2 linked regions of the Drosophila melanogaster genome follow. Changing the gene in region 2 together with the main gene of any one other region gives a genetic interaction. Each region holds a gene or a part of one and is shown on either strand. Other genes may lie near its edges.

Region 1 (8,664 bases), on a different chromosome or scaffold from region 2:
CAAAACTAAAAGGCAAAGAAAAGCAAAACAAAGCAAAACAGATTAATGAAATTGAGATAAAATTGCATAAATAAATTTACGATATAAACTAACACCATGAAAACAAAATGAAACAAAATTAAAGCAATGTGAAGCCACAGCAGCGTCAACTGAAACAAAGGCAAACTAAGCGAACACCAAGTGTACGGCAACCGCAGCAGCAAAGCTTAGTACTAGTGTAGCACACGACAACAAATTAAAGAACCCGAGAAACGGTTGCAACCGCAGTAAGTTAGTTAAGTTCCTTCCACTGCACTGTATGTAAAATGTAACCAGGATGCCGAACAACACAAAGGACATCTGTTGACGACACTCTCCTCCACGCATGGCCAGCACCACGTCTAAGACCATTGTTTAAGTTGCATTTTGTAAATTGTGAAATAAACCAAATGACAGTTAATGTAAAAAGTTAAACGCAAACATCCGACCTGCAGGGGAGGGCAAGAGGTGGGAGATAGGAGCAGTTTGAATATGTGATTTTCTGAGAACATGTATGTAAATAGGAGCCTATGCAGGTCTTTGTCTATTTGCATTCATTGGCTATGCATCTGTGGTCTGCATGTGATTTGCATTTCAAAAAGTCAATGTATAACAATCCAATCCCAAGATAACCACGAATACGAGGAGAGTCTGGGGGGTCTTGGCCTGGATTGACTTGGCAAACAGTTGCCTTTCATGGGTTAGCTTGAATGATTTATGAACCGCTTGCGAGTGGAGTTAGCTGTGATCTACGATTGCATTACAGTCCATCTGGCTGCGAAGAATAACAACTTCATATTGTAATGGGAATTGCCCAAGATTATTTGTTATTCCATTTTCGAACAGTTTTCAAAGACACCAAACAACACTAGATAACTGCCAATATCTGAAATGCCCAAACAAGAGGAATCCTTGAATTAAACCACCTTAGATACACCGCACTCTTCTGCTATAGCCACATATCCTGAAAGTCGCCTCGTACTTTTTACTATCTGCCTACGTAGTTCTGCTCAAACAAAGAAATAGCTCTTGAAGTCTATGTAAAATTAATGATCTATCTATGAAACGTCCATTTTGAAGCTATAACCTCTATCAAAGCCAAAAATATTGAAAGCTTTTAACGTAATCAATCATTAGTGATGCTATATTTTCATGATCTTAAAACACACAAATGAGCGAACAGGTGCCCAGTAGAATGAGAAATTAAACAGCAAGTGAATTTAATTGAACCTCATAGGCTTAAAGCAGTCAGCTAGCACTATATGGTACTGGTAGTGGGGATTGTAGATGGGCTGGTTGGGAAATCCGGGGGCTTTTAACAAGTATTGCATACGAAATGGGGACAAGCAGCATTTTATTTTTATAGCCAATCGGTTCGAACACACAGACATCCACTTAGCACACCGAATGCATCTGCATCAGCACAATACTATACATTTGTACATACATACAGAGAGGACACTTGAAGCTGGGGAGAGTACTTAAAAAATATAATATTGATAAAAGTATAATGCGTTACGAGATATTCCATAAAGTATAAATTGCATCAAATTGTTATTTTCTGTGAGTTCTCGTTCCTTCCTTGTTCGTTTGTTGATTGAATTGGTTGGTTCCATTATTTATTCAGCTATCGTATATTACGCAATGTGTGTGTGTGTGAAATTTACATTTACCAGAAAAATAACTTTTTGCCAAGCAACGCTCTAAATGTTTACTCGAATTTACTTCAACTAATTCGCAGGATGTCGAATGTCTAAAACGAATGCTTACTTCCTACAAAGGACTATTGCGATTAAGTCGCTGGTAGGGGAATGAGCGAAAAGCTCGGCGTGGTCGAGTTTAGATTTTCTCAAACTTTATTTGTAGCAAACTGTCGAGGGACTCAAACTTCAACAATAACTCCTTTTAGGTCCCATCAACCCCTACCAATATCTCATTCGAAAGGCACACATCTAGAAGGAACACCAAAATTTAGGCATTAAAATAAAATATACACAACAATTTAGACAAATTATAAAGATAGAATCTCTCATTAAACGAAAGGCAAACGAAGCCAGGATCAATAGATCGACATAAAATAAATTTCAATATTTGAAATACTTCGCGTTCAATTTTTCTCGTATGAAAGACCCAATTAAAAGCAAAAACTATTTAATTAATGCTGTTAATTAACGTATAATTTGACAACGTAATACAGATGATAATAATAATTATATATATATACACCATAAACGATTTTTAAAATAAGCTGAATAAAATTGATATATGAGTAACACGTTATAAGCTGTTAAAAGTAAAACGAAACCAAATAAAACGGATACAAATTGTATTGTAGTACTTATTTTAATTGAAGAAAATAAAGCATTATTAATTATATATAATATTTCACTGGTAATAGTTTCTTTATTGTGAAATCGAATTAAAATTGGATTGGTCATCCCACTTGTACTCCTTCAAACCACCACGTCGGCCAGCCAGAAGAACTGACGCACTTCCTCCTCGTTGGATGGTCGGCAATGCGGCGGCGGGGTGATCAGCGAATTTCGGAGAGACTTCATGGCCAGCATGTTTCGCTTTACGGCCATGGACAAATCAATGATCCGCTCCGGATAATGGACTCCGATCAGGCACTCGTACTGCTCCTGCTGCTCGGCAGACATTCGCCAGGGCTCGTGACTGAAAATATAAAATGGGATTTATAATTTAAAAAATATAACAAAAGCACGAATAAACGAATTAAAAATATATATAGTTCAAATGGTTGCTTGAGATTGTTGAACACTTTAACGAATCATAAGTAAAGACGACAAAGGAGTCATCATATATTGCGTATACGACAAGTATACCATCAGTATTTTTATTATATCTAAGTACTTAAATTGTTATATGGAATTTTCATTATATAAACTTACACAAATTCCTTGGGCACATTCATCAACTCCGGGACGTACTGCTTGATGTAGGTGCCATCCGGATCAAGTCGCTTGGCCAATGCCACCGGGCAGGTGACCAGGGAGGAGTCCAGCAGCCTTTCAAACGCCGAGCTGGATACCCACATCCAGTTGCCAGCGCAGACCGACCAATCCGCATCCAGCAGATACTTCAGAAAGTGCTGCAGTCCATGCTCCCAGCTCTGCCACAAACCGCCGCGCGTGAGAAAGGTGGCCACGGTGTTGCGCAGCGTATGGTGGAGCCATCCCTCGGCCAGGAGTTGTCGCATGGCGCCGTCGATGAGCGGGAATCCCGTTTGGCCTAAACGCCAGCTCTGCAGGAGATTTTCGTTCGGCTTAGCCCACGGGATGCTCAGGCAGATGTCATTGCCCTCCATGCGATCGTAGTTTGGATTGTTCACCGACATGGTGTAGAAGTACTCTCGCCAGATCAACTGTCCCGTGATGTGCGCGCCGCCAGTCATCTGAACGCCCCGCACACAGGCGCGCAACTGGACATTCTTGAAGAGATCGTGGACGCTCCAGTAGAAGCGACGTACCGAAAGGCAACCAAAGCGCAGATGGGCGCTCATCGATTTTGGCGAGTCGTGGATATTGGGCAGTGCCTGGTTGGGCAGATAAAATCCACGCTCAAACGCATGCTGCTCCACTTTAAGACGCTCATCCAACAGAAGTAAGGCCTGTGTTTCTCCGCCGCGCCAGTTAATCTTGGCCAGGAAGCCCATGTTGTCTCCATACACATTGAAGTGCTCCGGCGTGGGCAGCTGCTCGAACAACTTAAGACTTCGGCAGAACTCGGGGTCCAGCTCGACAAAGGTGGCGTCTTCTAGTCGAGCATCGGCGGTGGGACGCGGTGGAAGCCCAATAATTTGCACCGTGTGCTAAAACATAATAAAATAAACGAAAATATAATTTGATGTAAATAATTAGTATCTTTCAGTGACTATATAATTTTCAGATAGTTATATTTTTACATTTATTTTAAAGATATATTCTCAAAAGAATATTATAACTAGAGAACTGAGCTTTAAACTCACCAGGAACATTTGGTAGGTCAGCGGTGGAATGCCACCATTGGTCTCAATCACCAATTGCGGATCCCAAAGCGTGTGTGATACCTTCTCGACAAAGTCGATATTCAGCTCCCGACATAGAGAACGGATGCTTTCATCGCGCTCATTCCAAATTGGCTCGCAGTCCTGCTCTATGCAAATCCTGTGCAGACGCACTTGCTCATGTAGCCGGCGGAAGATATAAGCCGGTTCGCCCTCGAAGACCAGGAGGCGTCCACGTCCATCAGTTGCCGCCTGTAGCTGATCATCGATGTCCTGCAACGAGTCCAGGAGGAAACGCATCCGATTGTAACCCACATTCTTGGTACCTGTTAAGGAAGAGCATTTAACGGTTTTATAAGATTTATAAATTTAAAAAAAATTATGCATTTTCAAAGTTTTTTCGTGCACAATTTTCGCAAAACTAGGAATTCAAAACAAGTTTGTGTGTTTAAGTGCCACCTTTTAGATAAATTTTCAGCTTTTGTGCAAACAAATGGTTCAGTTTAGCCCATTTTCCATTGTAATATTTGTTTTCACGCTTTTACCCACAAAACGACGCTTATCGGTCAAGTGATGGGTTCTATAGGTATCCCCGTTTCTCGCCGACTTTTTCCGTGAGCGAGCTGTTTAAACACAAGCATTATACTGCTATTCTGGTTTGCACTCAATGTCTCTACCCATTTTGCATTGTCTTTCTATATCTCTCTCCCAGCGATTCGACGGAAAATTCTCAAAACCGCCAGCCACAAATGGCATTAGGGCGCATCGTTTGTTTTGCTCTACCATGCAAAAGTGCATTAGGTTTTCCCTCCATTTTCCGCCCCTGCAGCTCTCGCCCTCTTTCCATTTTCACAAGCAGCGAAAACGCTGAATTCGCAGCGGTCGCGGAAAGAGGTGGTATGTGATAACCGATGCAAGTCGCAAAAAATGATATTAGCTCATACGGAGAATGAGCGTGTAATAGCAATCAAACTAAAAGTATTTATTTTAACCCTCTGTTGCCAACGGTTTTTTATTTTAATTTTGTTGAATTTTCAAACTCTTTCCAAAAATCTATTTTTACACAAACTTCTGATGATTTTGTATGAGCAAATATATATAGATATAATATTTTATCTTTGATGTTTTGCTATCTATTAATTATTTTAAGATTATCTTAATATTTTAAATATATCTCCATGAGATATCCATATCTCATATAAAAGTTTTGAAGTAATAACTTAGGAAAGTGCAAGGTAAGTTCAAGGTTACCTGTAATCAATTTAATTTGGATACCTACATGTATGTGTGCGCAACGAAATAAAATTTTCGAAAACTCAGTTCTTACCTGCACTCTCTCCATCGAATATGAAAACGGGAATTAGGGCTATACCCTGATCCTTATCGGCGAGGGCGGCCAATAGAGCGGGATTATCATGGAGGCGCAATCCATGGCGAAACCAAATCACATTCGCCCCTCGCGTGGCCATCAGTGAGGAGTTCCCTGCTTTTGGGCTTCAAAAATCTCCCGAATCCCAGTTTTGATCGGGAAGAACAGTTTTCCAGCTGATGAAAAGATTTTCTTTTTTCCGCACTCACGATTCGCTCGCGCCGGCAACTAATTGACGAATGAGAATGTGAATGCGAAATTTGAGTGCTGAGAACGTTTCTACAACTGCAGCTCAACGTTCCCCGTGTTCGGCGTTATAAGCTAAAATGAATCGCATAAGTACGGTGAGTGCAACAGAGATGGCGAGAAAGAGACCTGTGGGAACCGCACACTGAAAAAAAGTACTTACTTCCATATATTATATATATTATAACCAAAGTTTAAGTTGGGCAAAACCAAACGCAGGCTAAAACTAAGAGTGTTCTATAACATCCAAATATCGTTTTTGTTTTTGTTATTGTTTATATTTTGAATTTCTATGCATATTTAGTATTAAAACTCGTTATAATGGCTGCGAGAAAAGATTCGAGAGTTGATAAGGATTTTGCGGACATGCATATTTTCTCCCAGTGTAGAAGCGTGTACTGTGAATCGGTAACTAGAAACAGCCCGTTCAAGTGCGTCAATACAAAGCTGTCGATCTGTATGTGTGTGTGTGTGTGTGTGCGAAGGGGCGACTGTGTGCTTGGGTGCTTGTGTGAGCATAAGTGTGGCACTCTGCCCACGGTTGCCTGCACTTCTAGCTCTGCGCCGAGAACGAGCCGAGCCCCCACCCCGAATCGACCCCCAGCTGACTGTCCCACCCCTTCTTCCCTTCGCTCTCACAGTGGGGCACTGCGTTCTGAGCACACAGAACCAGAAACTGAACCCAACTGTTGCCGCTTATGACGTGACGAGCTTTTGCAAGCACTCAACTCTGCAGTGGGATCGAGATGGGCTGTTTGCATGCTTATACTTATCACTTTGAAGTAATAATTACCTATTTGGGTATATTTACTTGGTTGTTTATTATGAGTAAATACATTTAAGTTTAAATAGTTATAAGATTTATTGATTATTTGATTTGTGCTGTGCAGACATTCATTTGTAAAGCAAGTAAGTATCGCCCTAACTACAAAAGTAGGTTAGCCCATTCCTGGTTAGTTCTTCTACAAATTATACTGGAAATAGCTATTTTGGTAAGAAAAAGATGAAGATGGAAGATGAGCAATTCTAGATACCAGTATTCTCCTATCAATATTTCGAAAAACCAAATACACTTGAACATATAATAGAGTAGCTAATATTCGGTAGTGACGCACTTTTTGGTTATGGTCCTGCATTGGCATAGTTAGTTAACCCGAGCATGGGCCACAGCTCCTTTGCCAACTTTGAGTGAGCTTTTCCCCCATAAAAAAAAATCCCCGCACGTCGAATACCCAACATCGCTGGACAGTCCCAACGAGCCTTATTGTGAGTAAACTACGCACTTGCATCACAAAAACTTTAGCATTGCACATTGCATGTTGCCTAGACAACGACAACGACACCGACAGCAGCAGCAGCAGCAGCAGCAGCAGTAAAAACAAGAACAAGGACCAAATGGAGGCAACGTGCGTAACGGAATGTCAACTGCAAAGCTCGCCGATGCACGTGTCCTGGCAACAACAACAACGACAGGCGCTGCTTGCAACAATCGGGCGAGGAATTCAAATGATGACGACGACGATGATGAGCCTTCTGTGGCTGGACTATGGCCAAAACCAGGATTATAAGGGGGCGGGGGAAAGGAACAGTGGCAGAGGCAGAGTGAAACAGGGTCAAATGAACAATGAAGTGAAGTCGAAAGGTTTTGGACAAAAGAATTTTTCTTGCCTTGTTAGCTTTTATGAAACTAATTTACGTTCCTCGGTTGGGATTGAAATTTCGGAAATTTAAAGATTGAGAATAGCAAATACAATTACTTATACTCAAAGAACTCATATTGCTCATACGCCAGGTGGGTTTCTATTCACAATTTTCACTTCATTGACATGGACATTTTCGTATAGTTGGCATTTAATTTACGTTCAGGTCGAACTTTTCCAATAGAACTTGTCCCTTGCAAAGGAATACCCACTTACCCATACGCCAGGTGGTACCAATTTTTACAAAGTTCTCACCATTTCCTCGAAATTGAATTTTTTATGATTACGGACAGCCTTTCATAGTTTGTTCTGTGAAAAATTACTGAACATTGGCTGATAAAATGTCATGTAGAAAATTAAATATGATTTCTCATAAACCAGATGGGACCACTCGTTGAAAGGGCTTTTACTTTTTCAATCGCCGCTGCTTTACCATAGTTTCCATTGTGCTTGGAAAAGATCCTGTATCCTGCGAATTGCATTTGTAAATTGTGATGGAAAACTCCCTAATACTCCTGTGTCTGGTGGGACCATGCCCTCAAAGGGATTTCCTTTATTTAGTGCAGCTGCTTTCCCAAGGTTTCCTTCTCGGAAAGCAAAATGTTCAGCCATTGTCGGGTTATCCCATGCCATAATTTATCTTTCAGCCAGCAAGTTCCCAGTTCAGGTGCACTGGATCTTCCGTTGAACTGCCGGGCACAGGCTGCTAGTTTCATTCTTTCGCTCAACACGTCACCAAGGACTTGAGGGGCATCCTTTGTGCAATCAGCAGCAGCACATACCGCCCACACCGTCTCTGTGTTTGTGTTGATGCTTCGCTACATTACATGATTGCCAGGCTGTAGATTGCAGCTTGTTAGTGAGCAGTGTTGGCAGATGAAGATTCCTTAACCAAGATGGGTCAGCGGAAATGGTGAAAAAATGCAGTCATATTTGGTTATTGTATTAAAGCATTCTCCTTTTTTTTAATAGATATTATATTTTATACCCATTTGCAGTTTGTTGAATGCTATCTACAACAATGTTCTACTATTTGGTCATTATATCATATTCCTTTACCAATATGAGGTATATTAACTTAATTAAACATGAAATTTATAATAAGGGAATGTATTTATCACTTCTTTCATAAGGAAAAATACAGATAAATGAATGTCATCGCTGTTGTTGAAGATTGCATTCCCGTTGTCTCCTCGCCTGCGTAATTTTCCTTTGGAGTATTTACGGACAATATGTAACAATTTATGTTATACGACCTCCATTTTACACATTTCAAAGGATGTAGCCCTCTCGCACACAGGCAATCGAGTCTGCAACGCAATCCA
Region 2 (7,678 bases):
TTCGTTTTTGGCAAATGGGAGAGATGTTGCGATGAACGATGGAAAACTTTCCATGGAGACGTGCAAAATCAATCAGTGGCAAAGGCTTCGTGTCAAAGGAGTCTTCATTTTCCGGCCTAATTGCAGGCAATCGTGCATGTGCCGCACTTCCCCCACCTTGCACTCGCTTTCACTCCCCGCCACCCAACCGACTATGGGATGCAAATGAGAACTGGATGGGTGCTCCAAGCTCCATCATCGCCATCATCATTGTCGTTGCTTGCTTTGATTAAGCGCGTGCAACTTGGCAAATTGTAATTGCCGCACTACCACCTCATCTCATCCATCCCCTTCTTTGCCAGCGTAGCCACAGTGACGCCAGTACCCCGTTCGAGTATGGGACGGAGTACGGGACCAGGTACGGGACCGACTACGGGACTGAGTACAGCACCGACTACTGACCGACTACGGGTCGGACTACGGTCGACTACGACAGATAGCCAACAGTTTTAATATGTACGCTAAGTGCTTTTTATTTTACTTCTTGTATCATTTTGATATGTTTTTAGTACCCTTTAAATTTCTAGCCGTTAAAAACATCACCTCCTAACACCTCCATCACAACGTGTGCCAAAAAGTGTGTGTGAGTGTGTGTGCTTGTCGTAATTTGCATTAGACGCCTTGGCGCCATTTTAATAGCTTTTCACGTGCCGCGGCAAACACTTTTTGGAAACTTTTCCTCGTTTTTCCTTCCCTATTTCGCAGGCATCTTTGCGGCGCGCTTAACTCAAAGAACTCCTCGTACATCATCTAGCCAACCAAAACAATCAACCACCCCTGAGCACCCGACACCCATCTTTCGAGGTATTTCAAAGGCCCATTTCTTAGAGCGAGCGGCTGCAAATCATCTCTGTAAGCCCAAAAATCAATAAAAATCTTCCAAGAGGGCGCAATAAAAATCTTCTGCATCATAAATTTTACTTCATTTACAGTTCAGTTTTTGTCGGCGATATGGAAACTTTTCGCAGCCATATCCCCACGGCATAAATTCGAGGATAATTTAATGTCCAAAAACCCCACCCCCCACCCCTCACGGCATTTTCGCTTTGGTAATTTAAATTTGGATTTGGTTTTGATTAAGTACTTGCCTATGATGGTGACGAGTATCATGAGTCCCAGCACCACGGCCATGGCGATCATTTTGACTAGTAGCCAAAACTCGACCGCCGCCCGCTCTTGTTCGTCATCGACCAGGTCGAAAGTGTTGCTGTTTCCATTGCCGTTTATGCTGCGATTCCAGACGATTTGGCTGAGATTGCTAGTCGTGTCCACCAGCTGGGTGAGATTGCCATTCAGCTCGATGAAGAGGCTCTCGTTGAGCAAAATGGCTGGCAGTTCTATTTCCAAAATGCTCGCTGGGACATCGTCATCGCCGGCAGCCATTGCTGTTGTCACAGTTTTCAGCATCTCGCTTGTATATATGTATATGTATATCCGGCTATATATTTCTGTATGTATGTACGACTATATATGAATCTGGGTTGGGGGCGTGTCAATGTATGTGACTACAGCCGGATGGCTTGCTGCTGATTCTGCTGCTGCTGCTGCTTTTGATGTTGCTGCCGTCGCAGCTGTTGCTGTTGCTGGTGTTGCTGCTGTTGCTGCTGCTTCTGCTGCTGCTGCTGCTGTTGCTGGCGTGCTTGTCGTTCGTGTTGCTGCCGTTGTTGCGGGTGATAAAGCGCCTTAATCGTGCTTGCCAAGCACTTAACACGTAAACTGCAAAACATAGGGCGGTGCGAGAGTCAATGGAGAGTCAGAGATGAATGGCAAACAATGGTGGAAAAGTCTATGGAAAACAAGAAATAAAAGCTGTAGACGAAATCATAATGTGTGCCCGCCCTAAAATAACACAATTCCCCTCTATATTTCCCATTTGCCCAAGTGAAGCCGGTCTGGCGTTCGTATTAAGACCACACCGTGATAAATGATGCTCGTCTGGACGCGCTCAGTTTACCTCGATTCCAGCAATTAATTAATCATTTCAATCGGGCGAACTCTTTCACAGGGTTTTTACAAGCTGCCAACCCACTGTAAGCCGGCCCCTTGACCCTAGGATCCTTATCTCGATTGGAGCTGGGAAAATCCGCCACACTTTTAAAATCGTGCTTGAATGATTGCTTATCAAATTGAATTTAAACAAGTAGTACGTAGTATTTTATAATAAAATTAATTGTTAAGTTAGTTTCAATATTTTAAAATTTTTAAATGTATAAAAATATTAAATCATTCTGAAATTTTATGGCACATAAAATGCCAGACCGAATTTGACATTTTATCATCTAACTTGTATTGATTTTTGTCTGGCTTTAATCTATAACCTAAATATTGTTATCTCCCAAAAATATATTTCAATCTCAGCACTCAAGTTTGCATAATTATTTTGGATATCCACTTATTACTGATCGATAGTGTTTTTCGCGGTGTGCTATTAATATTTCCCTTTTGCTGACGCTGTTTGTGCTATCAGCTTGTTTTGCTCAGTTCTATTCAAAATGTTGACGCTTACACTTGGATTTGCGATGCAGTTGCTGCTGTTGATTTCGCTGCTACTGCTACTTCCACTGCCCGGATTTTCGAGAGAACTAAGGCAGCCCTATAGATACGACAGATACGACGGTAATCCTGGCCAAAACCAACCAAGGAATTTGGAGCGGAACTGATATGCATAACTAAAACGGGTTCCAAAAGAAACACAATAAACTAGCGTAACACGAAGGCATCTGCATTCCTGCTTAATTCACTTACGGATAGTCGTAGCTGGGGTGTTTGGATGCCACTTGGCCTTTGTGGCGCCCAACACATCTGCCCTGACCTTTGTCTGTGTCAAGGTGTGTCCCCAGGTGAAGGCAGTTAACCAGTCTGAGGCGAACACTCGGGTCAACCAACACCTGAACAGCTGCGAAGGCAGTTTGATAGATTGCAGTCGGTCGGAAGTCTCCATCTCCGTTTGCAGTCGAATTCGCGAGAACGCTTCGCACAACCCTCGCTGAATAGTGGCTGCCTTTCGGTTTTGCCTTTTCTCGTAGACTAAAACGCTAATGGGAGGCACCGGAAACGGAACGAGGGCCGTGCGATGCGCTCGAGCAGCTCATGTGTGAGAAATATTTTCATAGTCAAGGTAATCGTCATCCTTTTCAGAGGATTTCTTGGCACGCCAGCTTAAGCTGCTAATAATAAAAGCACTATAAATGTTGCTGCGGTTTGGAGTTCAAGGCTCACATCCAAATGCTTTGATAATAAAAAAAAAAGAATCTACAATATATATTTATATATTGTGCAGCCTTAAAGTATGCTGAACTTGATTTAACACATCTAGTTCAGTAAACCCTATATATATATATATTTATATATATATAAGCATTGTTTATGAAAAACCAATCAATCCGCAACATAAATTGTTTCCTCTGGGTATTTGGCGGGGTATCTTGAGGTCGCCACCCTGGGCCACATCTTTCTGCATTTTAATTATGAAAGCGAGTCTCGCAGACCCATTCATTTTTCTATTTTTTTTTTATTTTTTTTTGTTTTTGTTATGTAACAAGGTCGTGTACATGAATTACATTCGCCATACATAGTGGGTGGAGTGAAAAAAAAGATGTGCTAACGTTTGCAACAAAATTCCCTCTAGGGGATAGTCGAAAAAAAAATCAAGGAGAAAAAGGAAAATCGCGTCGGGCTGCGGTGGCTTTTCCTCCGCCCGCCCCCTTTCCATTCTACGAATCTGATTCAGAATATGCCTCGAAGGCTTAACTCTTTCCCCACAACCAACACACACACACAGACACACACACATACACTCTTGAATTAATTCATACTCTAATAAATATACAAAAAGTTCTGCTGAATGTCTGCTGCTGGCAGTGCTCTTTCTTTTTCCACTTGTGTCAGCGTAATCTTTTAGCAGCCTTTTGGTCATGATCACAAGAATGACTCGTACAATATACCAATTAGCAGAGGGTTGGGTGTGATGGAAGTCCGCACATATGTCTGTGTGGATATGAACAAACCGAATGGGGTCATAACTCAGTTAGCGACTGAGTGGAAACAATAGATTGGCTACCAAACAAAGACACCGAGTTCATGGCTGCCAACTTTATGAAGATGATTGGACGACAGCAATTTGCACTCAAGTTACCAACTTGCCGGCGGAAAGTTTTCTCTAATGCAGTTGCCTAATTGCACTTCCAACCCGCAGCCAGTGCTGCATTTCTGTGAACTTGATTAAGTTCGGAACCAATAAACCAGCGCCACATCCCCTCAGCCCAAAGCCAAAAGAATAGTGCAATTCTGAAGGGAAACCAACCTGGACAGAAGCTGGAAATAAATAAAAGGAGAAGTCCTAGACATTCAACCGTAACGGAAAGCACAAACAAACGAAAATGCACAAAATTCCCCCAGCGATTTTCGTTGAACAAAGTGCACTCGTAGCCATTGTTGGTATGTATGTATGTATGCAGGTGGTTCCCTGCTGCTGGCCTTGTGGAATGAAATTCGTATTCATTATACTCACACATAAGCATAATTATGTCCTTTCATTTTCATTTCGCCCGCTTCATTAGCGACGCTCTGCCGCAGGTAGATTCGTCAACATAAATATTTATGCCGGGATGTGACAACGATGACGACAGCACTGGCGACCACCAAGGATATGAAGCTGCTCCAGCTGATAAAGATGATTATGATGTTCCCCAGCTTCTGAGGACCTCACACACACAAGCTCACGCACACAGGGATACAGCTTCCGTTTGGCGTTGCTTGTGTGCGCGCCTATGGTTGATTTGTATTTATCTTTTTTTTTTACATTTAGTACTCAGTCTCGGTTTTATTTTGTTCTTGTTCGCCCCGCTAATTATGCGGGTCTGGTTATTCAATTAGGCGGAATAAAAAGGTTAGTAATAACTCGCGTTTATAAGGACTTCACTTAACATTTAAACAGCTTTTAATACCCGTTTTTTAGCGTTCAGAGTTCAGTGTTTTGATTACGGCTTTCAGTCTTCGGCGTTGGGTGTTTCGAATATGAATTATTTGAATAATTTTCAGATTTTATGCTCGGAGCTTTTCCTTAAACGTTTCGGCAGACGCGTCGCGTCTTCAGCGTAACTATTGACAAACTGCTTCAATGTGGCCGTTTTGAAGTAGATGGAATCGCCGAAAACCAGCTGATTTTCCTGTAGACTTTTCCAACGCAGGCGCCTCAGAACGCTCTCTTATACGCAAATTCTGGCAAGTCTCCATTTAAGAGAAATCGCTTTTCGAAATCGAAAATCAGCACTCTTTGCTGCCTGTTGAGTTTCGACGAGTACGAGTAGAGTGAACGCAATTATTATTATTTTTTTTTTTGGAAATTAGAGCCGAGCAAAATGGGAAAATCCTCTGTCCACGATTTTCTGCCCCAGTGCGTTTCCCGCTAATGGATGCAAACAAAACGCAGTGGCGAACAATGCAAGTATCCCAGGACTACAGATCCTTGGCCGATTTTAATATATCTAATGCACGTTCCAGGGCGGCTAATGCGCATTAGGCCTTTGTCCTGGTTATTGGCAGTTTCGATAGGTTCGCCCTTCTTTGCCGACGTCAATTTGATGGCCATTTCTATGCAGCGGCCGTAATGCGCAACATTCCGGAGCTCTCGAGTTGGCCAAACTGCTTAGGCGTTTGCCTTTTGACTTCCGCTGTATCGCCTTTTGTTGGCTGCCGAGCAGCAGTAGGAACAGGACTCGGACTTTGGCCAGGATCAGGAGCAGCAGCAGTCCGGGCAGCATCGTAAATTAGCAGCGGTTTATTGCCAGTACGTGACATTTTGGCCCCGTTCCGGCGTCTGTATTTTCCTTGGCAATAATTACGGCCTTCATTTATTTGCCAGCTCGGGTTTTCCCTGGGTTTCATGCTTTTTCCTGCCTTTTGTGGCTTGCGGCTTCGTGGCATCGAGTCTTGCCTACCGTATTTGTTCAACAATATAACATTGATTGTTGCAATTGCTTGGCCATTGCGCATACGACGCGTGGGCCCTGATTGAAGCCACACTTCTTGTGGGCATTAGAACCGAAGGGATTGCAATTTATTTCTATGACCGGAACTATCTTAATGTGCGCTCAACTAACTATCTTGCTGCTTTTGCGATGCCCTCGAGTTGCACACATTTAATATTTTTAAGCATCATACTAATGAGCCAGAAACTTTAACCGTACACGCTACGTCCTTCGGAGCCAGCCAGCACGTAAAACTCTCATTGTGTGGACCCCCTTTCCCGGAACGAGTTTATGCGTGGGTACTGGGGAGCGTTAAGCATTTTCCAGTGCGTGACATGCGGCCCCTCTTCGAGTTGTATCAATACACACAGCGAAAAACTATGCCATTCTTGAAATACCAATTGCTTTTACTAAAGCTAAAAGCTTTGGATATACATACAATCTATTCAGAAAGCAACAAAATCTGAGCTTATATCTTATAGTCCATTAAACCATTTAAAGGAATTAATTTCGCATTTTTAACAGTGCAAAATGACAGCGGGATATTGCAAGGACGCAACGCAACTGCACCAGGCGAAGGTTGTTGACTTTCTGCAATGCGTGTGTCATTGTTTCAAATGGCAAAAAGTTAAGCGAAAATCTCAAATAATTTGCCATTATAAATGGCACCCAGATAAGCAGCAGCAGCAAGTTTTCGATTGGGGGAAAACCGAAGAGCAACTAAGGTTTGACAGCATCATCACTTCATCGAAGTTGCCACTTTTATGGGCGAGTGCAATAAACTTGCTTCGTCACCATGCTTAACATAATAATTATAATAAAAACAATTTTTTCGCATTTTACGAGACGAATAAAATTGTAGCATATTCTCCGGCAGATGGGCTGACCAAAAAAACCAAAGAAACCAAAAACATGAGAGTAGAAAGGAATTTACTGATGAATTGCGGTTTAGTTTTATGAGATGCTGCGACAGGATACACGATATGTGTACGTATAGTACACACAATACACACATTCAAGGGAACGTTGTGTGCGTAAGTCCTTGAGCTGTCAATATGAGACGGTTTTATGAGGAGGCAGGAAGAAAGCCGCGGTGCTATGTCAACATTTTATGCGTCTTTAATGCTTTGTTTTGTTAATAAAATCGACAAGAGTCGAGACGTTCGCTTCGTTACGACAGGCGTCACTCCACCCCGGCGTTTTATATAATTTTAATGTGCGCACTTTGACACTTTTAATGAATCCCAAACATTAATTTTCTTAATGAGCGCGCTCATTTAAAGCCCGGCTCCTAAAGCATCCCGTTGACAAATGCCCGGTAGGCCATTATTAAAGGAAGTCTACTGCAGTGACAGTGAGAATGGCACTAGGATCAGGAGTGGTACTGGGAATGGGAATGGGAATAAGAATGACAATGGCCCGGCAATTTCCTTTTGCCAGCTTAATGAAGTTTGAACCGAAATCCATTGGCCCACTGGTCCGGCATCCGCTGGCCGGGCAGCAGGACAAACATACACACATGACTGACACTGTCCGGCTTAATGAGCCGCACTAAATTCACACGAAACTTTCCGGCCAAAAGGGATCTGTCTCTTTTGGATTTTTCCTGGGCAACGAAAGCGTGTGGCAACTATTTATCGCCGCTGCCGGACAAATGTTCTACACTCGGT

Evidence for each region. A genetic interaction does not mean that the proteins touch.
Region 1: of 5-HT1B (region 2) and cry, changing one suppresses a phenotype caused by changing the other (phenotypic suppression), as found in Drosophila melanogaster (one study listed by BioGRID).

The regions. Positions count from the first base shown.
Region 1 is NT_033777.3:19,209,170-19,217,833, reverse strand, and holds cry (cryptochrome), read right to left. Parts: upstream 5,681-8,664; 5' UTR 5,494-5,680; coding exon 5,352-5,493; intron 5,276-5,351; exon of another isoform or gene 5,107-5,275; intron 4,351-5,106; coding exon 4,007-4,350; intron 3,851-4,006; coding exon 2,931-3,850; intron 2,695-2,930; coding exon 2,472-2,694; 3' UTR 2,392-2,471; downstream 1-2,391. UniProt on the Drosophila melanogaster protein: Blue light-dependent regulator that is the input of the circadian feedback loop. Has no photolyase activity for cyclobutane pyrimidine dimers or 6-4 photoproducts.
Region 2 is NT_033778.4:19,027,491-19,035,168, forward strand, and holds the start of 5-HT1B (5-hydroxytryptamine (serotonin) receptor 1B), read right to left. Parts: upstream 5,153-7,678; 5' UTR 4,550-5,152; intron 2,761-4,549; exon of another isoform or gene 2,700-2,760; coding exon of another isoform or gene 2,532-2,699; exon of another isoform or gene 2,519-2,531; intron 1,756-2,518; 5' UTR 1,447-1,755; coding exon 1,128-1,446; intron 1-1,127. Other genes in the region: CG43351 (uncharacterized protein), read left to right, coding at 2,532-2,699. UniProt on the Drosophila melanogaster protein: This is one of the several different receptors for 5-hydroxytryptamine (serotonin), a biogenic hormone that functions as a neurotransmitter, a hormone, and a mitogen. The activity of this receptor is mediated by G proteins which inhibit adenylate cyclase.